7 linked regions of the Mus musculus genome follow. The protein of the gene in region 1 purifies or fractionates together with the protein of each later gene. This does not show direct contact. Links are inferred from orthologs where the notes say so. Each region holds a gene or a part of one and is shown in the gene's direction. Other genes may lie near its edges.

What was found.
Region 2: the proteins of Yaf2 (region 1) and Tfdp1 purify together in Homo sapiens (affinity purification with mass spectrometry; 3 studies listed by BioGRID and IntAct, counting the BioPlex papers as one, with this or other methods). This does not show direct contact. The link is inferred for Mus musculus from reciprocal best matches to the Homo sapiens genes YAF2 and TFDP1.
Region 3: the proteins of Yaf2 (region 1) and Csnk2a2 purify together in Homo sapiens (affinity purification with mass spectrometry; 9 studies listed by BioGRID and IntAct, counting the BioPlex papers as one, with this or other methods). This does not show direct contact. The link is inferred for Mus musculus from reciprocal best matches to the Homo sapiens genes YAF2 and CSNK2A2.
Region 4: the proteins of Yaf2 (region 1) and Cbx3 purify together in Homo sapiens (affinity purification with mass spectrometry; 4 studies listed by BioGRID and IntAct, with this or other methods). This does not show direct contact. The link is inferred for Mus musculus from reciprocal best matches to the Homo sapiens genes YAF2 and CBX3.
Region 5: the proteins of Yaf2 (region 1) and Mga purify together in Homo sapiens (affinity purification with mass spectrometry; 5 studies listed by BioGRID and IntAct, counting the BioPlex papers as one, with this or other methods). This does not show direct contact. The link is inferred for Mus musculus from reciprocal best matches to the Homo sapiens genes YAF2 and MGA.
Region 6: the proteins of Yaf2 (region 1) and Bcorl1 purify together in Homo sapiens (affinity purification with mass spectrometry; 5 studies listed by BioGRID and IntAct, counting the BioPlex papers as one, with this or other methods). This does not show direct contact. The link is inferred for Mus musculus from reciprocal best matches to the Homo sapiens genes YAF2 and BCORL1.
Region 7: the proteins of Yaf2 (region 1) and Wdr5 purify together in Homo sapiens (affinity purification with mass spectrometry; 4 studies listed by BioGRID and IntAct, counting the BioPlex papers as one, with this or other methods). This does not show direct contact. The link is inferred for Mus musculus from reciprocal best matches to the Homo sapiens genes YAF2 and WDR5.

What each region holds. Positions count from the first base shown.
Region 1 is NC_000081.6:93,333,933-93,338,328, reverse strand, and holds the start of Yaf2 (YY1-associated factor 2), read left to right. Parts: upstream 1-1,393; 5' UTR 1,394-1,546; coding exon 1,547-1,572; intron 1,573-1,863; coding exon 1,864-1,989; intron 1,990-4,396. UniProt on the Homo sapiens protein: Binds to MYC and inhibits MYC-mediated transactivation. Also binds to MYCN and enhances MYCN-dependent transcriptional activation. Increases calpain 2-mediated proteolysis of YY1 in vitro.
Region 2 is NC_000074.6:13,337,489-13,341,767, forward strand, and holds the start of Tfdp1 (transcription factor Dp-1), read left to right. Parts: upstream 1-1,262; 5' UTR 1,263-1,318; exon of another isoform or gene 1,319-1,432; intron 1,433-1,453; exon of another isoform or gene 1,454-1,952; intron 1,953-2,176; 5' UTR 2,177-2,239; coding exon 2,240-2,251; intron 2,252-4,279. UniProt on the Homo sapiens protein: Can stimulate E2F-dependent transcription.
Region 3 is NC_000074.6:95,457,797-95,461,574, reverse strand, and holds part of Csnk2a2 (casein kinase II subunit alpha'), read left to right. Parts: coding exon 1-29; intron 30-786; coding exon 787-897; intron 898-1,401; coding exon 1,402-1,503; intron 1,504-3,778.
Region 4 is NC_000072.6:51,469,077-51,473,635, forward strand, and holds the start of Cbx3 (chromobox protein homolog 3), read left to right. Parts: upstream 1-1,539; 5' UTR 1,540-1,663; intron 1,664-2,175; exon of another isoform or gene 2,176-2,434; intron 2,435-2,739; 5' UTR 2,740-2,768; coding exon 2,769-2,792; intron 2,793-4,559. Other genes in the region: Hnrnpa2b1 (heterogeneous nuclear ribonucleoproteins A2/B1), read right to left, coding at 595-600.
Region 5 is NC_000068.7:119,962,950-119,966,654, forward strand, and holds part of Mga (MAX gene-associated protein), read left to right. Parts: intron 1-742; coding exon 743-2,016; 3' UTR 2,017-3,705. UniProt on the Homo sapiens protein: Functions as a dual-specificity transcription factor, regulating the expression of both MAX-network and T-box family target genes. Functions as a repressor or an activator.
Region 6 is NC_000086.7:48,365,127-48,368,904, forward strand, and holds part of Bcorl1 (BCL-6 corepressor-like protein 1), read left to right. Parts: intron 1-2,292; coding exon 2,293-2,383; intron 2,384-2,642; coding exon 2,643-3,778. UniProt on the Homo sapiens protein: Transcriptional corepressor. May specifically inhibit gene expression when recruited to promoter regions by sequence-specific DNA-binding proteins such as BCL6.
Region 7 is NC_000068.7:27,513,902-27,518,128, forward strand, and holds the start of Wdr5 (WD repeat-containing protein 5), read left to right. Parts: upstream 1-1,245; 5' UTR 1,246-1,379; intron 1,380-1,404; exon of another isoform or gene 1,405-1,851; intron 1,852-4,227.

The sequences.
Region 1 (4,396 bases):
TTTTATCTTGGAAAATTAACGCAACCTCTAATATATAACTTTTACACTCAACTAAGTCAGACTCTCTATTCTGCAAAAATAAAGTAATACTAAGCACCCAAGCAAACCCCACATAAAACAATCTTTTAAATGCTTTTCCAAATTTCTAGTAACTCAGTGCCTTGTGCAAGTGCTCCATCTCTGAGCTGTATACTCCCACCCGTTCTGCTATAATTCATTTTGACTTTCTTTTCTCAGAAGCTTGAAGCCTATTTCCCTCTTAATTACCCCAATTAATATCATATTCCCAATGATAAAAAGGAGAGCATCCTCCAGTTTGGTTATTAACTCTTGTTTGGTAAGTAACACATCAATACAGTAGTCTCCCTTTTGCTGGAGTTTTGCTTTCCTGTTTCAATTACCCACAGACGATATAGTTCAAAATATTAAGGACTTCCTAAACAGTTAACTCCTCAAGTTTTTAGTTGCCATCTCACTCTGAGTATCATGATGAAAATTTGCTCCATCCTGCTCTGGCCCAGCTGGATACATTTTCTAAACAACCTTATAGTATCCCAGGAGCCACACAGTCAGATCAACTGTTAAGTACGCAGTGCCTGAACTGGGTCCCCTTCAGTTAGTTAAGCCTGATGCGGAGGCTACAACGCCTCCATCAGCACACCCAAATAAGGCAGAAGAAGGCAGGGCTCCGAGAAGGGATGGATTTCATCTCTCCTTTCTTCAGGGGCAGCTTTCCTGATGACGGTTCACCGACTTGGCATGCTAAAGTCGCCCCTCGATCAGAGGGATGTCAAGCTAACTCTGGTTGTGGGGTACCCGCCAGATCGGCGAGGTGGGAAGCAGAGCTTCAAGGACCAGCGAGATGGCTGTTTGGGTCTAGCAGGCGAGGTGTGTATCCCCGACAGGCTGGAGTAAGGAGACTCGGGGAGGTGGTGTCCAGGGCACAAGCAACCTCGTCTGCCTTACGTAGGCTCACGAGCGTCCGTTTTATAACAAGCCACTGCAGAGCCCCGTGAGGCCAGGAGGACGCCGCTGCAATTAAAACCGGATCAGACCCTGGTTTCGTCACGTTTGAATTATGTAAGCTAGAGCAGGGCACCGAACCTCTCCCGAGCCTCTGGGTCGCTTCCCCAGAAGGAAGGATGACAGTCCCCGCCGCGCCGGGCGCACGCGTGTCTGCGGGCGCCTGCCATCGCGCCCTTCGGGGCGTGCGAGCCACGGCCGGAGCGCTCCGGGGCAGCCAGCGGGCGGGCGAGCTGGAGGGAGGCGGCGCCGCGAACTCGCCGCCGGTGCTGGGCCGCGCTCCCCGCGTTTGAAGTCTCCGGCGCGGCCGCTGGTTGGCCGGCGCGGGTCACGTGCGCGCAGGCAGGAGTTTCCCCGACAGCTGGAGGCTGCGTGGGATCCGGCGGCGGCGGCGGCAGCGGCGGCGGCGACGGCGGCGGCGGCGGCTGCAGCTCGCGGCGCGGCCTTCCCCGCCCCCTCGCCTCCGCGCTTCCGCCGGCCCCTCACCCCGGCGCTGACAGACCGGCGCGCGTCGGCAGCGAGCATGGGCGACAAGAAGAGCCCCACCAGGTAGGGCGCCCGCCGGCGGAGCGCCCGCGGCCCGGGGTCCCGTGGCGTGGCGTGGAGCGGCGCGGCGCGGGGCGCGCGCGTGTGTGTGGGGAGAGGGGGTGCGGCGCGGCGCGGCGGGGCGCGCGGCTGCCCACAATGGGCCGCGATGGCGGCCGGGGTCAGCGGCCGCGCTCCCCTCCCCCGCGCGGCGCCGGGCGGGGCGGGGGTCGCGGGCCGGGCGGGGCGGGGCGCGGGGCCGGGCGCGGCCTGCGGCTGACCCCGCGCTGCGTCGTGTCCGGTTGTGTCCTGCAGGCCGAAGCGGCAGCCGAAGCCCGCCTCGGATGAGGGCTACTGGGACTGCAGTGTCTGCACCTTCCGGAACAGCGCCGAGGCCTTCAAGTGCATGATGTGCGATGTGCGGAAGGGCACCTCCACCCGGTGAGTCCGGCGCGCCCGTGGATCCCCCGCGGGGCCCCCCGCGCGACGCGGGACGGCGGGGCGGCCAGCCAGGCGGCGGCCGCGGTGGGGCGCGACCCGGCTGAGCCGCGGCTGGCGGCGAGGGCTCGGTGGCGGCGGCGGTGGCGCCTGCTGCGGAGGATGAATTATCCATGGGGGTCGCCGGCCGCTGCCGTGCCGTGCCGTTCCATGCGTGGCCGGTGCGGTGCCCCCTCCCCAGCCGGGCGCAGAGACCGTGATCGCTGGTCGCATTGTGGTGTTAGTGTGCGGGGAGGGGGCGGGGACGGGGAGCCGGGGCGGGGGAGGGGACGGAGGAAAGGCCGCGATGTCACTCGGTCCCCCTGGGGAAAAAGTATCGCTTGTAGGATCGTAATGGATTAAACTTTCTTAGTAACGGATGTCCGGAAAGGGTCAGGCCAAGGTTTCGCGTCTGGGTTTTTTTTTGTTGTTGTTCTATTTCTGTAATAATTTTTTACAGTTAAGTAGTTGGTTGGGAGGTGAACCCAGCAACGCAGTTTTACTCCAGTGCCTGGATATTTTTACACAAACGAGATGACATGATCTTTGTCTGTTGCCGGCCCTGGATTTGTTGTATGGTAGGCATATAGTATTATAATTGTCTTTCCAAAAAAAAAAAAAAAAACCATTTAAAAGAGTTAAATTTAGGAAATTCGAACTCAGTAGCATTCTTGATCTGTCTCCACTTGGTCATAGTTCCCTTGGGAAGGCCGCCTTTAAATCCACTTCTACAGTGATTTGTAGCAATATTTAAGTAAGGCATTTATTTTGCTGCTATGAAGCCTATTCAAATACAAATGATTACAGAATACGGGGAATTTTCTGTTTGAAACAGAGGGCCTGTATAATTTTGACATTCTAAATAGTCAAAGTTATTTCTAAAAATGATGTATCCTGTTTTTTTTTTAAAAACTCAGTTTATAGAATTTTACTAACATTGTAAGTGTAGAGACATGTCAGGATTTTATTGTTTCTACAATACTGGTTGTTTTTGACATACCTGTCATAAATCTCAATAGGTTTTTACTACGAATTCTCATTTACATTGAATACAATATTTTTAGTATTTCTTGGTGTCTATTAAAAAGCAAGGTTTTAAATCCCTTTTAAGTTCAAGGAAAGATTCTAAAAAGAGAAACTACTTGCTATTTCTGGACTCACGTTTTAAGTGTTTTGGAAAGCACGGTGTATATGTCTATATAAGGATGGAAACGGCTTAGTGTATAATATATGTGTATTTGTAAATGAGCAATATGGAGATCATTTGACTTGGGTTTTTTTTTTTTTTTTTTTTTTTTTTGCTTTTGTTTTTACTTGTATCCTCTCATACTTTTAGACGAACACTGGATTAGAAGAGCCTATTTGTTTATTTGCAGGGACAGCAAGGATGGGGGCAAGCTGGTGTGTCCTACTCCACAGCCAGTCTTGGGGTTAGAGGAGCCCCGAGAAGTAGAGTAGGTGGTGACACTCAGAAGAGAAGCACCAGGCTGAGTCCCTGACTCCTGGAAGAAGGAGGATTGTAGCACACAGGGGAGCTGGCCCACAACAGAAGTGGGCCTGCTTTAGAGAGGCCTGAGACCCACCTGCAGGCCCCTGGCTTTTTGTTTTTGTTTTTGTTTTTGTTTTTAACCAGTAGATCCAATTTTTAGTGGTGGAAACATTACTTGAGGAGGACTCAGAGAAGCATTGTCATTTGGATTGAAACTGAAGAGGCTCTGGGCCCCTCACCAGAAGTCTAAGGGACACCGTGTTCCTAAAAGTAGGTGCTCAGAACGGTGTCCCTCTGAGCTTCTTCCTCTCTCTCTCTCTGAATTGTCTCCTTTGACTTTACCCCTAAGTGAATGGCAGGAGTTGTAACTTCTCTGTTGTCTGTTACATTTCCCTTTGCTCCCCCCCTCCCCCCCCCCCCCCCCGCCCCGAGATCTGTGTTTGGATGGATCAGTAGAACATGGTCTTGTTAATAAGTAGATGCTGGTTACATGCACAGTGTTTGGATGGATCAGTAGAACATGGCCTTGTTAATAAGTAGATGCTGGTTACATGCACAGTGTTTCCTCTTAGGAGTGACAGGAAACCAGGTGAAGGACTGGGACACAGATGGAAGGCAAGAGTTGAGTGGTCGGGGGACATTGTTCCCCCAGTTGATGTGCCTGTTGGCAGATAGGATGGAAGGAGAGCAGGGAGGGGGCAGCTGCAGCACACAGGGACACAGCTTGCTAATGACTTGTTTGTGTGACCACAGCCAGCATTTGGATCCCTTGGGTCAGAACAACCTCTGAACTGAATCTGTTCTAGCTGCCAATCACGAAGGCAAGCCTAAGCTATTCTAGATGTCTGAAGCCTTTTCTTCTTTATGTGTATGTGCACACAT
Region 2 (4,279 bases), on another chromosome or scaffold:
GGACAGCTGCTGGCGGACAGTTCGGCCAGATGCTAAAGAAGGGCTGTTGGGCTGAGTCATGGGACTGAGGCAGCCAGGTAACGGAGAAAGATCTGTCAGTTTGGGAGTCAAATTGACCTTTCCTCCAGAATAAAATCCGGTCACTCACATTAACAGTTTTCTGATAGTACTTAACTTTGCCCTGCTCTTCAGTCCCATATTCTTGGGAAACGTTGTGTCATTTTATCTGAACCATTTGGACTGATTTGTGAGCCCCAGCCTATTCTCCTCCCAGGCTCTCCAGCTTTAGTCTTAAAGAAGTGGCCTCTAAGATGGACTGAGTCTTCAAGGCTCAGGGTCTACCAGACCCCTCTTGGGATGAAGCAGAAGGTTTCTGAAGTGAAAGGCGCAAATGCATACACACCTGATTAACAGGCTGTTTCCTGCCCTGAATCACTGACAGCCCAGGCTCAGGGCATGTGGCTGTGGAGGTCAGTAGTTGAGCAGAGGTGGGGGATCTTGTCTCTGTATTGTTCAGTATGCATCCGAACAGTCTTTACTTTGTTCTGTGTAAATGAACAAGATTCTTCTCCCTGTGTGCACATGCAGGTACTTTAAAGCACTCTCAGAACTGACCTCTTTTTTCTCATGTGTACACACACGCCTGCTTTTTTTCAGTGCGCAGACATTAACATAGGTTTCCATATGTTTGCACAGAGGGTTCTCTTCTGTATATATGTTCAGGCGTGCACACACGACTGATACTCCATGTACACACACGTGTATACAGTCAGACTCTGCATATCCACAGGTGTGCACACACATGATCCTTTCCCTACGTGTGCATGCAGGTATGGCACACACCACATTCTTTTCACCGTTGGCGCGCGTGGTACACGCGCACACACAGAGCCAAACACGTGGCCCTCTACTCCCTGCGCATGCACACAGATATGCATACAGTTGGCCCTTGGTGTACACACACACACACATACACACACACACACACACACACACACACACACACACACACACACACAGAGGCGCGCACACACGTGGCCTCTCTCCGAGCGCACATGGAGACGCGCGCAGCGCTGTTCGGCGTCGGCGGTCTCCAGCCGGGTCCCGCCGCACGCGCACGCGCGCGCAGGCCCCGCCCCTCTCCCAGGGCGGGTAGCACCGGCGAGAGGCGCGGGAGATGAGCGGCGGGAGGAGGAGGAGGAGGAGGAGGGCGCCGAAGGCGCGAAAAGGCGCGCAGGCGCGCTGCGCGCAGCGGGCCCGCCGCCGCCCACGTCACCGCGCCGCGCGCACGTCACGCCGGCCCGACGCTCGGCCCAGGGTGAGCCCGCGTCCCGGCGCCGCTGGCTCAGGGCAGGGACCGCCAGGGCCGGACCTCCGGGCCGGCGCCTCCGCGCCCCCGTCGTCCGCCCCGCGCGCCCCGCCGGCCAGCCAGGTGTGGCGGGGGCACCGGCCGGTCGCGGCGGGAGGGCGCAGGCTGGGCGCGCGGCCCCGTTCCCGCCCCAGCCCGGTTCCCGCGTCCGGTCGCATCCCGCCCGCCGCCCAGCCTCAGCTGGAGTCGGCCTCGACGCGGCGTGGCGTGGGCGGCGGGCAGGGGTCCTGGCCACCCTCCGGCTCTGTCCGCGCCAGGGCGCGGGGCTGGTGGCTGGGCCTAGTGACAGGTGGGGCGAGCGGGCGGGCGGCCGGGAGCCCACCTGTCAGAGTGGTCGGCGGCCCCTCGGGGTCTTGGGCAGCCCGGGGTGGGGGGTGCCCGCCGCGGCCCGGGCGGAGCCACGCAGTGTCGTGTGCCCAAGTGGGGGGCCTTGTGCCTCGGCGGGGCCTGTGGTCAGGCGGGGCCCGCGTGCCCAGGTGGGGTGAGCCTGACGGCTGCGCGTCGCTCAGCCAAGGGTCCGGGGTCTGGCCCCGCTGCCGGTGGGAGCTGCTGGTGCCCGCAGGGAGCATTTCCATTTAGAGAGGTGACTTAAAATCCCCGTGTGGGACCTGCTTGGCTAGCTCTCCTGTCGGGATTGTGCAAGAAAGGCCCCTGCTGCCTGGAGGCCTGCCTCTGCCTCGTGCTGGTGGGGAGATGTTTCCTTTGAAATGCGATGTGCGTTAAATTTCTTCTCATTCTCATTCATTATTCATCCCCTCCCTTTTTTTCTTTTCTTTCTTTCTTTCTTTTTTTTTTTTTTTTAACCAGATAAGTACGGTTTCTTCTGTGGAGGGTACGCAGTTAAAGCCTTGATTTCCTGGATCTGGTAACATGGCAAAAGATGTAAGTATGGTCGCTGCATGCTGCAGACATGTTGGCACAGCTCGTTGCAGTTTTCTCCCTTTATTTGAGAGTGGCCATACGTGTGTGGCAGTGGGTTGGCCAAGACATTTTACAGGCAGGAGCTGGGATGGAGATGAGGGATGATGGCGAGAGTCGTTAGGTGGGTGTCTCCCCTCTGCACAAATGGTCTTTGTCATCCGAAGCGTGACACGTTTTTTTTTTCTTTTTTGTTTTTTTTTTCGTGGTTTGATGATGATGTCTTGATTTTTTTTTCTTTATCTAAACTGCTTAAATAAAATAAAAAAATTAATACATCTCTCAGTTATGAGTGTGTGAGAGGGTGTTGTTTGTTAGTGGGTTTCCACACAGGAGAGCTGTCAACATGGAACTTACACTGTACTAGTTTTATGTAGTACGTAAGACCGTAATCCAGCTTTGATGGATTGAATCCCAACTACTTGTTTGGGCACATTTTTCTCAGAAAGATGACATTTGGTGATTAATGAAACACCGTGGAAATGCTGGTTGGTTTAGCTTCATATTTATCACGAAGCTACCGAGCGTTTTGAAGTTTTTTTGGGAAACAGGTATGGACAATTAGGTTTTAAGGCTGTAAATACAGTCTGTATTGTTGGTCACATACATACATTTTTGCAGTATTGCTTTAACTCCCTCCAACACTGATCGTGTCCGTTCCAGTGTTCCTCAGTGTCCACTGTTCTGTGACTGTTAGATTCATGCCTTTTCTGTGCAGCCCTGGAAATGCAGGCAGACATGCCGCATCAGCTAGAGTTGTGCCCAGGTGTAGCGGAACCGTGGTGCAGGTGCGGAGTCCTGTCCTGACTGGCCCGCATGGAACAGACCCTCTTCTGGTCATCGAGCACCGGACCTGCTCCTGGGGGCCGGGGGGGGGGGGGGGTCATGTCTCACCCTGAGAGACCTTGTGTAGGTCACCTGAAGTCACAACTACATATGGCACTGGCTTGATCTCGTTATATCTGTTGTCTATGTACATCCATGTCCTGACTCCGTCCCCACGAGTGCCCTAATGAGAGACATGCCACCCAGCGCATGCCTACAAAGTAGCTAGATTTGGTGAATGGGTGTAAACGGGGTGCTGGCTCCCGTGCCTTTGTGAGGCCACATGGCATGGTGTAGTTTCACTGAGTCAGCATACTCAAGCCCAGTCATCTTAGTTTGTCATTATACACTCCTGTGTGCAGTGTCCCCTGGGGAGGCAAGTGGTCAGGAGCTCCTGTCCGGCTGCCGGTTTGGGGTTAGCCATTGTGGTGTGGCTAGGCCAGTGCTGTGACTGGGTATCAGAATGCTGCAGCTTAGTCCCCCAACAAGTGCGCACAGACATAGGCAGAGGTGAAGTGGCGCTCCCTGTTTTCTTGCAGACAGTCAAGGGTTGGGTCTTCTCTGTAGCCAACTGTGTTTTTAAGTAGGATGTGATGTTTGGGTTCGGAAAGGGACTTTGTAACTTATGCTGAAGGGAAAGAAAGAGGCACCATTGAAGTGTTCTAAGCACTTGATGCTTAAGTGAAATCTGGTTGTAAAGGGTCCTGTAGACATGTGGCTCTGAAGGCCATGACACTGGTGAGAACAGACAAAAGTCACGCTTGAGGTCACAGAAGAGGGGCAGGAAGGGCAGACAGAAGACAAATAACTTAGGGTTTTTCTGCCCCTGCTGGTGCCCAGGCAGACCAGCAGGTAAGTTGGGCTCACTGTGAACCGGGGCTGTGAAGCCGGGCAGGCAGTTGTCAGTGGACAGGATGGGGATGGCAGGAGCTGGCACGGAGCAGTGGAGTGGGGGTGAGTGCCTGCAGATACTCTGGGGCGCACCTGCAGTGCTTTCCTGTGGTACTGTAGACTGTCCGAGTGTGGGAAGAGCATGTGGCCAGGGTGAGCCATGATCACCCTGCCTTGAAAGCTAGAGGGGCTTGGTTTGGGCGTCTTCTCCCAAGGTCGGTGCTGGCACTCCCTGCCTAGCAAGCCCTGCTGTCTTCCTGAAGATAGTATTCTTGA
Region 3 (3,778 bases), on another chromosome or scaffold:
ATGTCATGATAGATCACCAACAAAAAAAGGTACCAATCCAGCCAGGCAGCACCAAACCTTTGCTGAAGGCTTAGGGAAGATCTAAACCTCGTCAAATAGCATTGTGGTATCAGTAGACACGATGCTGTCTATGCTGTCTGTAGACCATGCTGATTCCTTTTGTAGACTGATTACTCTGACTTCTCTAGTCTCCTGTATTATTAGTTTCTACCAGGAACGTGTGTACATGCTAACCATGACTATAGTTTCTGGTTTTATTTTAGTTCTAGAGTTGACAGGGCTTTAGGAAGAAACTACAACAGTGGTTTCTACGTCACTTCTTCATGATCATTCCAGTCCAACTAGCCCTAAGAGATACACTTGGGGCCCTCCAACTCTGGCTGTCACAGCCAGTGTTAGCTTAATAACCAGTTAGAGCAGTGTGCAGTGCTTCTGCCTGGAGGGAGCCATACATGTCCTTCAGTGTTGCCTGGAGCTCATGTTAACAGCCGTGAGTGATGGGGGAGTGTGTTCCATATGTAAGTAGCATGGAGGCAGAAACAAGGTTGAGTTCTGATGATCTGGAGAGAGTAAAAGACCAGGGTAACTTAAAGGGAAAAACTCGGAAACATTCCAAGTGCTCCAGAAATGACCTCATCTGCAGTTCTTGAAGTGTAGTCTTCCATGGGTACACTCCTACTCTATGTGATCAAGTACCTGTTATAGATACGTGCTGTGGCCTCACCACAGGCATGGGCATGTCCAAGGGCATCTTTCATGGTCTGTTTCCTCTTGTCTTTCTTATAGCTCCGACTGATTGATTGGGGTCTGGCAGAGTTCTATCATCCTGCTCAGGAGTACAATGTTCGAGTGGCCTCGAGGTACTTCAAGGGACCAGAGCTCCTTGTGGACTATCAGGTGAGCGTGTCAGTGAAGCTGCTCTGCTCTGCATTAATTTTATATTTTCTTAGGGATTTTCCTGGTTTGCTATGTAGTCGATGGATTCATACAAAACCCAGTTATTATTCTACTCTATAAAGCTTTTTCTCAACTACATTAAATTTTTTTTCATTATGTATGTATAAGCTTACTTGTACCACAGCCCACGTGTGAGGGTTAGAGGGGTTTGTTCTCTCCACCATGTTGGTTCTTGGCATAAGGATTAGGTTGTTGGGGTTGGCAGCCTTGGATACTTAGTCTACCAGCTGAGCCTCTTGCTGCCCTTTTTTTTTTTTTAAGGAAAGAATGACTTTTAGTTATAACTTCAGAAAGGCTAAGAATGGAACTTGCCTGATAAGTATAAGACCCTAGTGCCTTAGAAATACGGGCCAATCTTCAGGAGTCAGATGAGTACTAGAAACTCCATCAGTACAAAGAGTTTCTAGCCATCTTTGACTGATCGACCGTCCTTACTGCCTTCAGATGTATGATTATAGCTTGGACATGTGGAGCTTGGGCTGCATGTTAGCGAGCATGATATTCCGAAAGGAGCCATTCTTCCACGGGCAGGACAACTATGACCAGGTGAGCAGATTATGTTATAAATGCTAGAGATATAACATTTGAGCCATGAATGTCACTCACTATATATGGGCTACCATGTAAGCTGATGAGTTGTTCAGAATTGTGTCTGTGGTACAAAATCCCAAAGCATGCAGACATTTGCTGTCTATGCTGAACCTTCAAGATGGGTCTAAGAAATAAGGTATCTCTTTGTTGCAGTAAATCTCCAGCCCCAATATGTCCGAGCAAAAACCACACAACTCAGTTACAGCATTCACAAGCTGCACAGCTAGATTGGGCACATTTACCGCTACACTACTCTGTCGCCCATCTATGAGATCCCTTGTTACTTGCGGCTTCTCCAGGCCACGTGGTACTATTCCATCTTCCACCTCCTCTTCCTCTGTCTTTCTTTCCTCTTTCTTCTCTTCCTCCTCTCTAAAACCTCCAGCCCCACCTTTCCCTTCCACTGCCCAATCACAGGCTCTAGCCTTTATCTGACCAGTTAGAATGAGGAGAAGGTTCACATGAGATCACCTGAGCACATGATCCACTCCTTATTCGGGCAGCCCCTCTTGAGGAAGCAGAGTTAACATCAGAATACAAATAGCACCAGGGCAAGCCACAATGTTTCCCCCTTTTTGTACAATTAAAGGGCTCTCCCTTTTTTTTTTCCCCCTCGTATAAATTGAGTACAACTATTATGCAATTTAGAAAGTATAAGATATATTTAAAACCCAGTCTGTCATATTGTCAATTTAGATAAAACACTCTACCATCTATCCTAACTTTAAAAGCTTACAATTTTATATCTGAATTATATTCTGGTTTTAGCTTGTATTACCATCTGAAAATCATCCTCTCAAATCTGTATCATCTCTCTTAATGTTAAACAGTTTGAGTGCTATGAAACTATAACTAGTCTTCAACTCCATCAGAAATCCAAAAATGACTTAAATATTACCTGAAAATATAGGAAGCACAAGAGATAGCTTCCAAAATTTAAACATTTTGTAGAGACAGCTGACTACCTGGACAGTCCCTAATTCCTCAAAATGTTAGAGCTTCAGTCTCCAACATTTATACCTTAACTATTCTTAGTCATTTCTACTTGAGTAAATTAAAAACACTTTATTATAATTAAATCCGAATATATAATGAGCCTTCTGGCCCAGGATCATCTGACAGACTTTTGTAAAGCAGAATTGTGAAGGACTGCTTACCCTGTCTTGCTTGGCAGAGCTACCGGTCAACTATTTCACATAGTATGACCTTTTCCTGGACAGTATTTTTGTAGATGAATTGAGGCAATTTTTGCCTAGTGGTAATCTCTCCACGACTGGAGCAATTCTATTGATATTTAATTTTTTTCTTTGAACCAAGAAAGGGGTGTAGTCAGGAGCAGACTAGATTCTAGTCAAATGATCTTTAATAATGAAATGGCCTTAAATGTTGTATTCTGTGGACTTCTGTCCACAGAAGACTATCTGTCGGGGGCTGGAGAGATGGCTCAGTGGTTAAGAGCACTGACTGCACTTCCGAAGGTCCTGAGTTCTAATCCCAGCAACCACATGGTAGCTCACAACCATCCATAACAAAAGCTGACTCCTTCTTGAGTGTCTTTAAGACAGCTACAGTGTGCTTACATATAATAAATAAATCTTTTTTTAAAAAAGAAGACTGTCTATCTATTTAAAGTATATCTGAACTGTTATACCTTAACTATTCTTAGTCATTTCTATTTGAGTAAATTAAAAACACTTTATTATAATTAAATCAGAATATAATATAATCTAGCCCTTGACTTGTATTACTTAATCATCCTAAACACTGTTTTTACTCTTTTAAAGTTAAAAAAAGATTTATTTACTTATTTTAATACCTAAATACACTGTAGTTGTCTTCAGACACACCAGAAGAGGCCGTCAGATCTCGTTACGGATGGTTGTAAGGCACCATGTGGTTGCTGGGATTTGAGCTCAGGACCTTTGGAGGAGCAGTCAGTGTTCTTACCCGCTGAGCTGTCTCTCCAACCCCTAAACACTTTTTAACGGGAGTTATTAGAAGGACTGGGTCCAAGCCTTGTATTCTTAGAAGAGTTGTACAGGCACAATGCCTATCAAAGAGTAACAATAATAATTTTAAATCTTGTATCAATATAAGAAATTTAAATCTGTATTATTCTATAAATTGTATATCAATGTAAAATTTTAACTTCAAGTTGCATTAATTATAAAAATTTCTGCCAACGTAGGATATGGCTGTATAATTTTTTTTTTTGAAAATTTGATAACCT
Region 4 (4,559 bases), on another chromosome or scaffold:
GCTGAAGACCCAAGCTCAAAACGCTAAATCCACCTCGAAACGGTATGAAGACTTCCAAAAGAAAGGAAAATCGCTAAACACGTCTACGCAGTGGTGAAAAAAGAAAACCAAACTAGTAAACCTAAAGCGTTGAAAGCAAAATCGTGGCGAGGAAGGAGACGGGAAAATGGCGGCCGCCAAATCCGGTTCCCGGGAGAGGGGGGAGGGGAAGCTTCGCAGACTCGCTCCGGGAAGCCGGGGGGGCCCCAGAAACGTTCCGCCGCGAACACAACCGAGCCCCTAGGCCCGCGCACATCGAAAGGCCAGCGATGGCCCGCTCACGCGCTACTTTAGCGGTCCAGCCCGGTCGCGGCGGGCACTTCCCATCCCCCACCCCAACTGAGGGAAATGGCGCCGGGCGGCTGAGGGCGGGGAAGGCGGTCGGACAATCAGAGGCCTCCTCCAACGACCCCTCAGAAACTCGCCAAGGCCAACCGCCACTCGAGTGGCCGCATCCCCTCCGCCGGACCACGGAGGCGGGTGGCCGGTTTCCATTGCGGTGCCTACGGCCTCGCCATGCCATTTTTAATAACTCATTGATTTCAAACCCGTTACCTCCATCGCGGACTCAGTCGCTTCAGCCCGATTTCCCGCAGCCGAGCGAGATGAGAAAGACCTCCGCGGACGGACGCGCACGGGACTCGTCCTGGCGCTGTGGGGAGAGCAGGCGATGGCCAAGAAACTGGGCCGCAAAGGAGCTCCTGCACACGGGACCGGCGCCGCTGCTACTGCCGCTGGAGCCGAGACCGCCGCTTTTCTAGAACCTTCCCCCCACTAACGCGTCTCCGCTTACGTCACGCCGTTACGTAAACGCCCTAACCGCCGCCAATGGCGGGAAGGGCCTACACTCTCCTTACGCCAAGTACGTGACACTCCCCCTTTAGGTACAGCGGGACTGCTTTACATCACTTGCGCAACTGTGTTCCGTGAATTGCGGAAGGCTCGCGCTCGGCGTGTTACTACGTCCGGAACTAGGTCCGGCCCCCACCTCCGCGTAGGGAGCGGAGAAACGGTCGCGCAGTTTGAAATAACGCCGTCGGGAGGGGCTTAGGCCGGCGCTGGGGCGTGCGGCCCTCTCCACCCAAGCGTGCTCTCTGCAGCTACGCCTTTGCCAAGCCCGTCCGCACAAATATTCTCGAACCACACAAATATTTCTACACGTCCCAAAGGGGTTCTCACTCGGTCCCTCCCAGAAGGACTTTTAGTCCAAGTACCACCCCGGATGCCACAAGCCTTGGGATCCCGCGCCTAGTGAGAGGTGGTGCTTAAAGAACCCCGCTGTTTATCTCCCCGGCCTTCAAGATCCGGGCAAGGAGGTGGGTGGAGCCCCGCTTTGGCGCGCTCCGAGACGCAGAGAGGCCTCCGCGGTCCTTCCTGCCCGCCTTCCCCCCCCTCCCCCCAGCCAGGAGACCCCCTGGGCGCCACGCCGCGGACGGTGAGCATTGCGCGCGCCGCCCCCCGCAGGACGCGTTCCCGGCGGGCCCCGCGCGGCCAGGGCGTGGGCGGTGCTCCCCCTCCCCCCCGGCGGAGCTGCCCGCGCCCCCTCCCCTCGGATGTGGCTGAACCGAAGCGCGCAGGCGGGAGACTCTGCAGGATCCGCGGCCCTGAGCATCGGAGCGGTGAAGTTCGTGCCTTTGCTTTTTTTCGATCTTGCGTGTGGTGGGGTTTAGGATGCTCCGTGCGTCCGAGCTTGCGGGGAGGCTGCGAGCCCCGTGGGCCGCGGGCTGCGGGAAACCGGCTGGGGCCTCGCTGAGGCGGGCGCCGCGCCGGTGCGTGGGGGAGATGGGACAATTGTGCATGAGGGTGGGAGCCGGATGACAGCTACCGAGACTCCAGACAAAGCGCGGGCCTCCCCTCCCCCAGCCTCGTCGCAGGCCCGCAGGGAGAGAGCGGTTCAGGCTCTGCAGCTGCGAGGCCCGAGGCTCCGGGCTGCGGCGCGCTCCCGGCTACGTGGCCGCCGCCGGATGGGGGAGGCGCGGGCCCGTGGCGCAGTGCCCTTGAGCCCCCGCCGCCGCCTTTGTTTCTCCCCGCGGAGGCGCTGACCACGAGGCCCGCGCTCTCGGGTGGGGGACGGGCTCCCGACCGGGGAATGGAGCTGGGAAGGAGCCCTCCTCGGAGGGGAGCGTGAAGGAGGTCGACTCCTTCTATCCTTATCAGGACAGTACTTGGGAGCTTGAGGCTGGGGATTGCCAGGCGTTGAAGCCCAGACTGGACTATAGAGAGTGATTACCGCACCACCACCCCCGGAAAAAAAAAGCCAGAAAATAGGACTGGGACATCTTAATGTGTTCCTTTTTTTATACCGTGATTGAACAGGGAGGGCCTCTGAAAAAATAAGGATGGAATTATATGAGCTCCTTGGAGTATTCAGAAATCTAAAGAAAAAGATCTTATGGTAATTTGCTAACAAAAGATAGTCATTTCCTTTCATCCAAAATAAACACTAAAATTGTTAAAATTCTATATGGATTGGGAAAGTAACAATCCTCACCATGTAAAGTTGTCTGAGGTACCAGTGTTTTAGTAAGATTATTTTCACTAACATACTGAAATTATTAGTAACATACTAATAACACGGGAACTCAACTGTTTTCCTGCATTTTTACCCGAAATTTACATGTTGAAATCCACACAAAACTTGTAGCTGCCTTTTGTGTGTCATGAAATTTTAACTGTCCTACATTTTTTTTCTTGCAATAGCTCTTCAAGTCTCCGATTAAATTTAAAAAATGGCCTCCAATAAAACTACATTGGTAAGTTTGTGAAAACCTAGAACATAAGAATCTTAACTGAAGGATTTTTTTTTTTCTTTAAAATTACAATTAAGAAACCATGTGGTGGTGGATCTCTGAGTTCGAGACCAGCCTGGTCTGCAGTGTGAATTCCAGAATAGTCAGAGCTACACAGAAAAACCCTCTCTGGGCGTGTGGGTGGGGGAGCTAGAACCTGTGGTGGACATGGTTGTGCCTTCCTTTAATCCCATCATAAGTGGGTGAATTGCTGTTAGAAGCCAGCCTACCTAAGTCCTTGTATTTACCAGCATTCTAAAGAAAAAGGAATTAACACTAAGTAAGGCTTTTCTTAAGGAGGATCACAATACATTTTTTTGAAAAAGCGTTGTACAGTTTTTGCTGGATGCTTTTGAGGTAAAAAATGCATGTTTGTGGGTTATAAAACAGCTCAATCTTCAGAGCCCAAGGAAAAGTGGAAAGAAAAAACAAGTTTCTACCAGAGTGTGCCTTGATTTCCACACAGGAGCTCCATCATATTGTTAATGAGCTGAATGGGGGAAGAGTCGTGGACAGCTCTATAAAAGTCTTGTGGGTTGGCATGATTACCCTGGAAGCTGTGCTGTTCTGGAGACACTGAGCATTCATTAGTGCACAGAGAGTGAGTTAGATAGAGCTCACGTTGCCATGAGCAAGAATTACAAACTGTCTAGGAGTGATCTAAGACTGTTAGATCAATTCTGTTTCTTTTCAGCGATTTCTGACTGTTGCTAAATCCAGTGTTAGTTTTCTTGGGATTTCTAGTAAGTTAGACAAATTTATTTTTGTCAAGTTATATTTAAAATAAATAAAACTGGGTCAGCCAGGCAGTGGTAGCCCACAACTTTAATCCCAGTACTCCAAGACAGAGGCTGGTAGATAGATCTACACAGCGAGTCCACGGACACCCAGGGCTACACAGAGAAACCAAAAACGGAGGGAGGAAAAAAAAATGGGTCTGAAGGTGTATGTTTGTGATCCAGCCTGTGAGAAGCTGAAGCAAGCAGATTGCCTTGAGTTTGAGGCTAGCCTGGATTCCAAAATTCTGGGTAGTCGGGGCTGCATCCAAGACCCTGTCTAGAAAAAGATTCATGTCAAAAGAGTGAAATTTACAGTTGTGGTTTCTACATTAATTAGGACACATTGATCTCAATCATATGGAGGTGTGCATTAACAAAACATGGGTTTTTATCCTTGAATTTCTGACCAAAATGAGCAAGAGGGTATTTCTATCTCATATAGTGCATGACTTCAACTGGTCTGCAAAGTGGACTAGATTCTGTGATCAGAAGCCCTGATGGTCACTCTTAGATGACCCAATACAGTGATAAGCATGAATCATCTGGTAAACTGTGGAGATGCTGTGAGTGTGGGTATGGCCCTGGATGCTGATGGACTGAGTATCCTGGTTCTGAGGTGCTGCTGGTGATTTTTTTTTTCCTGCGTGATCCTTCACTTGGTGATGGTTAGAGGGACTAGGCATTTGATAGGGGGTTATTTTTGTGATTCCTTTAAAAAATTTTTAAGTAGCATCTGTAGTTACACATGGTGGTGCATACCTATAATTCCAGCACTGGGAGAAGCTGAATCAGGAAAAATCACTGCAAGTTAAAGACTAGACTGGGCTACTGTCTCAAAAATGTTAAAGGGTGCATAGCACTGTTGTGGAGGTGAAATGCTTGGGCATATAAATAGTGGGTTATTTTGGTATCCCATGGGGACTTCTAAATAACCATCTCAAGGTTTTTAAAA
Region 5 (3,705 bases), on another chromosome or scaffold:
TCTTAGAGTTCCATTTTCCCTTCTAACTAGCAGTTAATTGGGTGAACAAAATCAAGATGTGTTTCTGCCTCAGGACAAGAATTAGCTTAGCAAGCTGGTTTTTGGATGGTGGCCTGTGCCCATAATCACAGCTCTTATGAAACACAAGACAAGAATTTTGTGAGTTGGAGGCTAACCATGGCCTCCATAGGAAGATCCTGATTCTGTCCAATCCTAGGGCTGGTAATGTACTTGCTTATACTTTGTATAGGCAAGTTCCTGGGTTCAGTCTCCTCCACTGCTCTCCCAGTCCAAAAAAAGAAAAGAGTTATTTTGTAGAGATTTTCTAAAAATGTAATTAAGTGGAACTATTGCTAATAATGAAATACCTAAGTGTCTTGACTAGATTTTACTTGACTTATTGCTATTTCAGCTGTTATTCTGTTATTTTGTCCTTTTTTTCTTTTTCCCTCCCTCCCTTCCTTCCTTCCTTCCTTCCTTCCTTCCTTCCTTCCTTCCTTCCTTCCTTCCTTCCTTCCTTTCTTTCTTTCTTTCTTTCTTTCTTTTTTTTTTTTTTCCAGAGCTGAGGACCAAACCCAGGGCCTTGCGCTTGCAGGCAAGAGCTCTACCACTGAGCTATAGCCCCAACCCCTCAGCTGTTATTCTGACAAAAGTGGACTAAGATAGACTGGGAAGGAGAGAGAGAAAAAGAGATTTTCATTACTGCATCTAATGAACTCTCTCTTTAATTTTTGATTTTCAGAGAATGATGACTTATTTATGATGCCACGAATTGTCAATGTGACATCATTGGCTGCAGAGGAAGATTTGGGAGGTATGAGTGGCAACAAATACCGTCACGAAGTTCCTGATGGCAAGCCACTTGACCACCTGAGAGACATTGCTGGGAGTGAAGCCAGCTCCTTAAAAGATACAGAGAGAATCTCTTCCAGAGGAAACCATCGAGATAGCAGAAAGGCACTGGGTCCAACACAGGTGCTTTTGGCAAATAAAGATTCTGGGTTTCCACATGTAGCTGATGTTTCCACTATGCAGGCAGCACAGGAATTTATACCTAAAAATATGTCTGGTGATGTGAGAGGGCATCGGTATAAATGGAAGGAGTGTGAGTTGAGAGGAGAGAGACTAAAGTCAAAGGAGTCTCAGTTTCATAAATTAAAGATGAAAGATCTGAAGGACTCAAGCATAGAGATGGAACTGAGGAAAGTAGCCTCGGCTATCGAGGAAGCAGCCCTCCATCCCAGTGAGCTGCTGACTAACATGGAAGATGAGGATGACACTGATGAGACTCTGACTTCACTGCTCAATGAAATTGCTTTTCTTAATCAACAGCTAAATGATGACTCTGGCCTAGCTGAACTGTCAGGTTCTATGGATACAGAATTCTCAGGAGATGCTCAGCGAGCTTTTATCAGTAAACTTGCTCCTGGGAACAGATCAGCTTTCCAAGTTGGACACTTGGGAGCAGGTGTGAAAGAGTTGCCTGATGTCCAAGAGGAGAGTGAATCCATCAGCCCCCTCCTCTTGCACTTGGAAGATGATGACTTTTCTGAGAATGAAAAACAGCTTGGGGACACAGCCTCTGAGCCAGATGTCCTTAAGATTGTTATTGACCCTGAAATAAAGGATTCTCTTGTTTCCCATAGGAAATCTAGTGATGGAGGGCAGAGTACTTCTGGTCTCCCCGCAGAGCCTGAAAGTGTATCTTCACCTCCCATCTTACACATGAAGACTGGCCCGGAGAACAGCAACACAGATACTTTGTGGAGGCCTATGCCAAAGTTGGCCCCATTAGGTTTAAAAGTAGCTAATCCCCCCAGTGATGCCGATGGTCAGAGTCTCAAGGTGATGCCTGCCTTGGCACCTATAGCTGCCAAAGTTGGGTCAATTGGACACAAAATGAATTTAGCAGGAATTGACCAGGAAGGCCGGGGGAGCAAGGTGATGCCTACATTGGCACCTGTTGTACCTAAATTGGGCAACTCTGGAGCTCCATCAAGTTCATCAGGGAAATGAGCTTGTTCATCCTCATACAAAAGCCAGGCTGTGAGGGGAAATGAATTTCACCTCCTTTCTCTGTAGGCGTCTGTTTGTTTGTATTATGGAACTATTATCCTTGACTTAATTATGTGTGAATATTGATGGAGAAAGGAGGTGTAGGGTGCTGGTCCTGGTGTTTGAAATTCTGATCATGTTAAAAATGTGTTACCTCACTTGTGGTGCTGGGTCCCCTCATCTTCTCTAAGAAGGTGTGATTCCCTCTTGCCCAAGGAATTCATAACAAGATTCTGGCTCCATCAACTACCTTATTATTTTCCCCTGAGAAAATGCTTGAGACTTGGAATTACTATAGACTAAAGTATAAGTCATAGTTGTTGGCTCCAAAATCTGAGAATTATGATACAGTTGTGTGGGAAAAAAAAAAAAAAAGAACTTTTAGTTACTATTTCAATAGTAGGGCATGGTAGGACTGGGCATGGTAGTGCACACTTGTAATTCCAGCACTTAGAAGACTAAAGCAGAAGGATTGCAAGTTTGTGTCTACCCTGGCCTATCAAGGGGACAGACACACACACACACATACACACTTGTGGGGGCCAGGGGAGTAGGAAGAGAGAATGTTATAGTAGGTAGGATGAATATTATGGAATACCAAAGTGAAGGGATTTTGTCATTCAGCAGACTGTTTCATATCCAGAATAGTTCTTCCCTTACCCTTTCAGTCATAATTAAAAACCTAAGCTTTCTGGTAAAGTAGGAATATACTTTTTACTTTTACTATTAACATACTTATTTTCAGAGACTAAAAAAGACATACTTCTCCCTTATTTCTTGGGGTATCACAAAGATTCATTCATAATACCAGAGATTTCTACTCATTGTTTTTTGGAAGTAGACATAGAGGCAGCCCTTCCCTTTCCCAAATCATGTCACTCAAGAAACAGCTAAAATGAAAAGCAGTTTCTCCCCTAACCAGAGACCGTAGCCAAAATAAAAATTTGTGGGGCTGGGTATTTCCCAAATGAAACCAGCCTCTAGGTGCTTGAAGGTTTTGTTCACTGTCACCTGCACAGGATGTAAAGAAAAGGCGAGTCAGAGTGAGCAATCTTTACCAGGGAAGTAAGGCAGTATTTGAGTCACAAAGTATATTTTTTATCTGCTATCATGGCATCAATGATCTGTAGAGCTTTTTCACTCATTGGCTGTCAGGGTATGAAGGACTGACAACCTGTAAAGATGAAGATATTTATATTTTTGTATAGTTGTTTTCATAGATTTCTCAAAGGATGAAGTTTTCGACCTAGAAGAGATTTGTATTGAGTATAGAAATGTTTCCTATCTAGTTTGTAAATAATCATGGTGCATTTGAGGGGTCTCTCGGGAACTCGTGAGGCAAGAATCACTGTTCTGAAAATGTATAGACTGAGATGTAGCTGCTGCATTTGCCTTTCTTAAATAATTATATTTTGGAATGTAACCCGTTCTGTCTTCAATGACAGGATTTGCTTGTGTTGTAAAAACACTTTAACACAAGTGCTTCCGGTGCCTGGGCTGTGCCTGGGTGATTGTATTTCTTTTACACTACTGCGTCTTTATCCTAAGTCCCACTCTGTATCCTCTGACCTAGGTTGTGAGACCAACTTTGGAATGAATCTAGCCAGTGAATTACTTCTATGTTTGATTTCCTTTTTAGATTAACTCTGA
Region 6 (3,778 bases), on another chromosome or scaffold:
AGAGGATTTGAAACACCATCGCACACATTTTCCTCCCTGAGCTTGGGGGGCTGGTGCTGCAGCTTAGGCATGGCTGGAGTAGCCAGAAGTGCTGCCTTTGCTGCCACCACCAGCCTCTCTGCCTGGCTCTAGGCTTCACTGCTAACCTCTGGCTTGTGAGAATATAGCTTCTGCTTTCTTCTTCTGGGCAGAATTTCTGCCCAAGGAGGAGCCCACCAAGCAGGAGGGAGCGTGGTCAGGAGGAGAAAGAATGTAAACAAATAGGGCCTTCCCATGTGGAGTTGTGGAGGGGAGAGGTGCGCCCTCCCCCTAAACCATCCCTGGAGAGTCTAGTTGGAACATGCTTCTCCAGCCCAAGGCTGGCTCCATATAGGTCCTGCTTTTCTGCTCTCTCAGGAGTTGATGTGAAAAGTGTGTTTTCCCTTCTCTGTAGCCCTCCATCTCTCCTCTTCCTCAAGACCCCTAACTGCGGTCCAAAGCCCTTGCCTCACAGTCCTGTGTTACCAGCAGTCATTTCCAGTGGTGGAACTGTCCCACTTCTGCCACCCTAGCTGTTTGTTAAAGGGGACAAGCCTTTCCCCCTTGATTAGCCCCTTCTGGAGCCGGCTCCGATCCTCATTGCCATTCTTGCTTCTCTTGCCCCAGGTACAGTTAGAAAGTCTGTGTTTCAGTCGGAGGGAGGGAGTTATTTGCAGGGGTGCTCCTCCTTGCTGGAGTTGACTGCAGGCACCCCCAAATACCCTTTAGACTAGAGTGTGGTCGCTAAGGCAGACGCTGCTGACTTTTCTTCACGGGCTGTATTGGATCTCTGGCAGGGCTCCAAAGATGGCAGGCAAACCCAAACAAAGAGCAGGCAGAGCAGCCCTGTGCTTTGCCCACCCAGAAAACTTGCTGCAGCTTTGTTCTTTGACCCCCTACCTCCTCTGCAGCCACTCCCACCCAGGCGGCTGCCCTATTGATATGGCTCCTGAGCACAGGGGCCGGGTTCCTGCTGCACTTAAAGCGGCCAGCGGCCGGTATGGAGCCACCACTTGTCCTTCGACTTTACTTTAGCGTGTGATCCTTTTATTTGTTCGTTTTGTCAAATGGCACATGTTTTAGGATTCTTACCTGAAGTTTAGAGAATTCTTCTTGAGCAGTTTGGGGGAGGGGGTTACGGTTGAATTTTTCTCCTTTGAGATCCAGCTTTCTGGCCTTTAGACTTTCTTTATGGCACATACCAATAGAAATACAGAGTTCTGTGGCTTTGAGGCGCTCCCTTTGGGAGGAGAGAGGATGTGGTGATGCAGAGAGGCTGAAAGGAAGGTGCGCCCATGTACTGTGAGAAGAGAGCATGTTGTGTGGAGCCAGGTTGACTTCTAGAAATGCTCCTTTGGAGAAAAAAAGAAGTGTTTGCTTTGTTTTGCTGGTTTTTCAAGTAACACACGGGGTCTTACTCTTACTGTATAGGCTTGCTGAGTCTAAGCTGGCCTTGACCTCAAAGAGATCCACCTGCTTCTGCCTCCTGGGTGCCAGGATTTAAAGACACACATCACCAGTCCACTGCATTTTCCTTGTTGTTTGAGACAGGATCTTCTGTGGCCCAAATGACTGAATTCCTTACCTTCCTGTCTCTACTTCCTAAGTACTCACATTACAGACAGGACACATGCTCAGCTAAATGTCGTAGTTTTAAAGAGCCTCTCGGTGTCAGTGACCAGATGGCCTCACATCAGTGCTGTAAATGTGAGTGTGGTTGGGCTTCAGGCCCGCCTTGCCCGATAGAGGAGCAAACGCTTCAGATTTTGACTAGATTGGAAAGCACTGTGGAAGTGGAGATTTGCTTACAAAGAGGTTTACCCTGAATGGCACTTCCCATATAGACTTGAAACAAGATTGGATTTAAAATAAAACTAATTTGTGTACCCTTGAGGATTCTGGGTTACATCTCTCTCCTTTTGGGCAATGCCTTGTATATCCTGGAGTGAATGGTCAACTTGATGGTTAAGCTCCAGGCGAAAGGAGAAGGTGCTAAGGTGGGGTTCATCTGCACTTTGGGTGAGAACACTAGAAAGCACAATAAGTGGCCCCCAAATTCTGGTCAGACAAGGCTCCTCCTCTTCAGCAACTTGCAAAGTTGCGTGTGGCGGCTCCGCTTTGCCTGGTTCAGCTCCTAGTCTTCTGCCATCCCCTGAGGTCACCATGGAAGTGAGACAGGAGGGTTTGGAAAGCTAGGCAGGCAAGACCTTCTAGAAGTGTCAGTGCTCTAAGTCCGGGCCTTATCTCCCTTTTCTGCTGTGTCTTCCCTGCCAGAAGAGCACCTCTTTCTGATGAGGAGTCCACGACAGGTGGCTGCCAGCACTTTGGATCTCAGGAGTTTTGTGTCAGCAGCAGTTTTTCCAAGGTAAGGAGCTATGTGCTGTCACATGCTACCCATCAAAGGGTGAGCTTCTTGGACCATGTGCCTAGTTTGGCCTTCCTGAGACTGGGAGCAAGAAGACACAAGTTGCTGTAGGTGAGACAGAAACGGCTCTGCGCATGCCCTGTACATTGCAGTTGGTTGAGTTGTCGAGAGGACCAGCAGGTACTTCCCAGGGGCCTCAGGGTACCTGCATCAGTTCCCAGGACTTTGCTAAGATGGCCATGCTATTCTTTCGTCGCAGGTGGAGCTCACGGCAGTTGGAAGTGGCAGCAATGCCCGGGGGACAAACCCAGATGGCAATACCACAGAAAAACTTGGGCACAGGTCAGAAGATCAGTCTGATGACCCTCAGCCAAAAATGGACTATGTTGGGAATCCAGCAGAGGCTGAGGGCCTCCTGGTGCCACTGAGCAGCCCGGGAGACGGGCTCAAGCTGCCCACTCCTGACAGCACTGAGGCCAGCCACAGCAGAGCCAACTGCTCCTGGACTCCCTTAAGCACCCAAATGAGCAAACAGGTTGACTGCTCGCCAGCCGGGGTAAAGGCTTTGGACTCTCGGCACGGTGTTGGGGAGAAGAACACTTTCATTTTGGCAACTCTGGGAACTGGAGTCCCTGTGGAGGGTACCCTGCCTCTAGTTACCACTAACTTCAGTCAGCTGCCGGCACCTATCTGCCCTCCTGCCCCTGGATCGGCCTCTGGGACCCCCTCGGTTCCCGATCCATTCCAAGTTCCCCTTTCTGTCCCAGCTCCAGTGCCCCACTCAGGACTAGTTCCAGTCCAAGTTGCCACATCGGCTTCAGCTCCTTCCCCTCCCCTAGCCCCAGCAGCGCCCTCGGTGCCTACTCTCATCTCTGATTCAAACCCTCTCTCTGTGTCAGCCTCTGTCTTGGTGCCAGTACCAGTGTCTGCTCCCCACTCGGTCCCTGTGCCCTTGTCGGCTCCTGCTCCGACCCCTCTCACAGTCTCTGTGTCCGCACCTCCCTTGGCTCTGATCCAGGCTCCCGTGCCTCCCTCGGCTCCCACCTTGGTCCTTGCTTCTGTCCCAACTCCAGTTCTAGCTCCCATGCCAGCATCCACACCTCCAGCAGCTCCTGCCCCCCCATCTGTACCAATGCCCACTCCGACCCCTTCCTCTGGCCCACCCTCTACCCCCACCCTTATTCCTGCCTTTGCTCCTACACCGGTGCCTGCGCCCACCCCAGCCCCAATCTTTACTCCAGCCCCCACGCCCATGCCGGCTGCCACACCAGCTGCTATCCCCACCTCGGCGCCCATTCCAGCCTCCTTCAGTTTGAGTCGAGTGTGTTTTCCTGCAGCTCAGGCACCAGCTATGCAAAAAGTCCCCCTGTCTTTTCAACCAGGGACAGTGCTGAC
Region 7 (4,227 bases), on another chromosome or scaffold:
GCAGATACGGAGATGTTATTCTTACCATCCCATGCTCCACTCCATCCAGGGCTCCTGGCATAGGTCTGTTAGACACACAGATTCGTCTGAACTGTTTCTGTGCCTTTAGCAGGAGATTCCAGGCCAATGTCAGTCTTCTCACACTCTTGTAGCTATGGCAACCACACACTCTCCATTCTCAAGCTTCAGTTGCTTAGTCCCTCCCTCTGCACAGGTTCCCCACGCGTTATATTTGATATTCCCAGACTGGAAGATGAGGCTGCACAGGTCATAGCCACCTCCAAGAGTCTAAGACCATGTGAGTTAGACAGTGAAGTGAGAGGTGCAGACCTGGCTCCAGGTTCTCCTTCTGTCCCTGTGTCCTCCTCTCTGGGTGTTTTCCCCGTTAGTGACAGGAGTAGAGGTGGTCCAACAGGAAAGAGGGCTGTCAAAACTTTGCTAACTGCAGGCCGGCCAGCCTGCTAGGGGCTGTCTTGTGAAAATGAGATAAAGCCTTTAAAATGGAGCTCCAGAGCCACACAGGAGCCAGATTGTAGTGGATGCTGTGGCTGCCTGGAATGTGAACTGCCTGAGCCTACATTCAGGTGCAACTGCATCGTTCCAGATGCATGCATAGCTGGAGGACTTGGAGCCCCTGTGTTAGGGACACTTGCCTTTCCTGTCCACATTCTTTCTTGTTTGTCTTCTAAGTCAGGTAGCTCCTCTCTTGTCAGCGTGCAGGCTTCCTTCTCTACAGTAGTGCCCTGCCTTCCCTGGACACTACTGTAGATCTCTCCCTGCAGCGGTAGCTCCTAAGACCTTTTTCGGAGTGTGTCTGTGTGGGGTGGTGGTGGTGGTACAGCGTAGCCTCCTTATGGCCCTGTAGAAGAGAGGCAAGTATGTTCAATTTGAGCTGTGGTTTGCAGCGGCAGGAAGCCCCCCGCCTTGCGGTAGGCTGGGGAGGCCGCAGGAGCTCCGGACTTCCGGACCTCGTGGACATCCACCAGTGGCACCAAGAGGTTTCCCAACAGTCCTGGGCAGGCACGGGCCAGCACAGGCAAATTGTAACTGTTAGCTTGGCTACACAGCCTAGAATAACAGGAGAGGCACCTAAGCACGTTCTCACCCATCTTTAATTCTAGAGTGCTCCAGTCTGCAGTTACCGAACACCAGTAGCGGTCAAATAGGAAGCGAGAACCACAGACGGCCCCTTTAAGGCGCTCCGCCTCCTCTAGTTTTTCTGACCCTCGTCGCCGCCCGTTGTCCCGCCCCTCGCGCACGCGCAATCCCTCCCGCCTCCCGCGCCGCTGCCGCCTAGTCCAGCAGATCGTCTGCTCTCGCGCGTAGGGCTAGCCGACGCGACGCCAGAGCGCCCGGCCCCGCCGCCGCGGCCCCGGCAGGTAAGCGAGAAACCCGGTCCCGCGGGCGCGAGGCGAGCGGCGGCCACGAGGGCCCTCGGGCTCCGGGCTCCACAGCGCCGCACGTGTTCCGAGGGCCTCGGGCCGGGCCGGACGCCGCATTTGCGGCCGCGCCCCGACCCCGCCGCCCCTTGTGGCCGCCACGGCCCGCTACTTCCACTGCGGCCCCTGCTACGCCCCTAGACCCTTAGTCCTGCGAGCTTCTCGAGACTCACACCTCAGACTGGCGTCACTGGGAGTGGAATTCTCTGTCTCATCGGGGACACCCAGCCAGCGTCGCGCAGGTTTCCTTGGCCACTTGGCGCCTCTCGTGCTGCGGGCACAACCCTCATTTGTGTCCTAGCGCAAGTTTCTACCTGACTAGGGCTGACCGGTCAAGGGTTTCTGAACATTGTCCGGGACAGCCGGGCAGTTGAGCGCACAGTGGTGTGAAGCCAAGGCTACTAGTACCTAGGTATCTAGGAGCCCAGAGAGGATGGGTTGGAGTTCTTTGTTGGGTTACCTACTGCACTCACCTGAGTGACTGAACCATTCTGTCTTCCCATACTTGTGTACTAGGGTGGAAACCAGGAGTCTACATTTGACTGGAGGGAGACTGATGGCTGCTGCCCTTCCATAGTCAGGCTCACTCTAGTGTAAAGCCCCGGCTGCGGCTGCCGGTTACCTACCTCCTTTGTGGGCAGTGGAGGCCAGCTCCAAACCACCTGCTGAGGATCCTGCTTAACCCAGCTTCCTCCCAGACCTGCCCTCCCCAAGTCCTGCTTTCCTGAGTGCTCTGTCTTGGACTCTACCCTGTGGAATTGGAAAGTGGTGGTCTCCTTTGAGCCGGTTTCAGGTTGATGCTAGCCTCACATTTAACTGCTTTGAATTCCTGAGCCTCCTGAATGCTGTGAGGCAGATTGGCTAATGTTGATATTCTTTCTTTCTTTCTTTCTTTCTTTCTTTCTTTCTTCCCCGTTTTTGTTTTTGTTTTTTGGTTGGTTGTTTGGGGCCCACATCCTTAGAGCTCTTCATCCTTAGAGCTGGAATTAAAGTGGGTGGTGCTACAACTAGTGTCTTCAGATGTTAATATTTGTCTTCCTGAAAGACCCAGCTTATTAACGATGTGATGGGCAGGGCTGGGTGGTGGTGTGCTTGTTGGCAAGGTCATCCACCTGCTGTTAGGTGAATCTCTTTATATGCTAAAAGAAGCTTAGTTCCTAGAGACTTCCCACACTGGAGATAGATCTGCCCTACACTGTTGGCCTTTCATTTCACTGGAGTAGGGAGATGAGATGCTGGTTGAAAGAGACTTTCTAGCCCTTTTCATTACTTAAGTCTCAGCTCCTGTTGCTACCTGTATGGTCCACAAAAGTGGTTGCTATGGGAACTCATGGCCATAGTTGCATTAAGAATAAGCACCAGGTCAGGCCTGGTAGTTGATTTATGCCTGTTACACCAACCATACCAAGCTTGAGACTGGTTTTTTAATACCAGTGCATAGCAAGACCCTGTCTCCAAAAAGCTAAAAGCACCAAGCAGCTGGTATTTCCTGGGCACAAGAGCTTTGTTTGTGGAGAGGCCCCTGGGACCTACCCTAGTCTGATCCTTGCACCTGGGCTTGAGCTACAGCGGATTTGACCTTGATGGAGATGGCTGCAGGTAAAACAGCTTGGCTGCACCTGTGTGGTGCATGGTGTTCCTGTTCTTTCCTCTAGGATTGAAGACTTTGAGGCATTGTTCTCTTTTGGTGTCCTTTCATCTTAGTCTTATGTGGGGGTCCATGTGAGGTTTCAGGTTTAACCTCAAAGCCAGACTTTACATTATGATTGCTCCTTACATTGATGGCTGAGGAATGTCTCAGTAGCTCTCCGTTAGAGGAGTACTAGCTCATTTCCCAGTCAGGTGGTGTGCTTTTCTGGATGCGTGCAGGTGATGGGCCCTCCTGTAAACTGCAGTAAACTGTTGCAGTTGCATACATGTTCAGGCTGAGTCTGTCCAGCTGACTGGAATAACTACTTTCCCTCAGACCTGCAGCTTATCTGCTGTTGTTTGTGCTGCTCCCCCAGAGGTTTCTTTCACATGGGGGCAGTGACTACTCTGTTTTATTCTTGGAGCGCTTTCGGTAGTACTTTGTGCACTGAGTCCCTGTGCTCTGTAAGCTCTAGGTATTGTTAAAGGCATGTTGCAGTTTATGAGGTCACAGGGAGCCACTGAGGAGGTGAGGCCACTGTGTTTCGTCAAATTATTTGGGTGTATTTTAGAATTTGGGTAAGTTCACAGACTTGTGCACAGAAAGTCTACCTCCTGTTACTTGGCCTGTTGTTTCTGTTAGAAAGCCTTTTAAATACTGTGTCAAGGGCTCTTTGAAGCAAACTCACATCCCTGTATACACCTGTCTGCTACAGTGGGAAGCCTAGGCCATCACACAGAGTGTCTGAAGCGTCAGCCCTGGGATAGGGTGACAGTTATCCCCAGCTTGGGACAGTTGATTTGTTGGAGGGTTCAATGTGGTGGTCGTGTTTCTCCTTTTTATTCTTTTATTTATTTATTTATTTATTTATTTATTATATGTAAGTACACCGTAGCTGTCTTCAGACGCACCAGAAGAGGGTATCAGATCTCATTACGGGTGGTTGTGAGCCACCATATGGTTGCTGGGATTTGAACTTCGGACCTTTGGAAGAGCAGTCAGGTGCTCTTACCCACTGAGCCATCTCACCAGCCCCCCTTTTTATTCTTTTTCTTGGGAATCTTTCTATTTTTATGTTTTAAAGATTTATTTTACATTTATAAGTACAGTATAGTTGTCTTCAGATACCAGGAGAGAACATCAGATCACATTACAGAT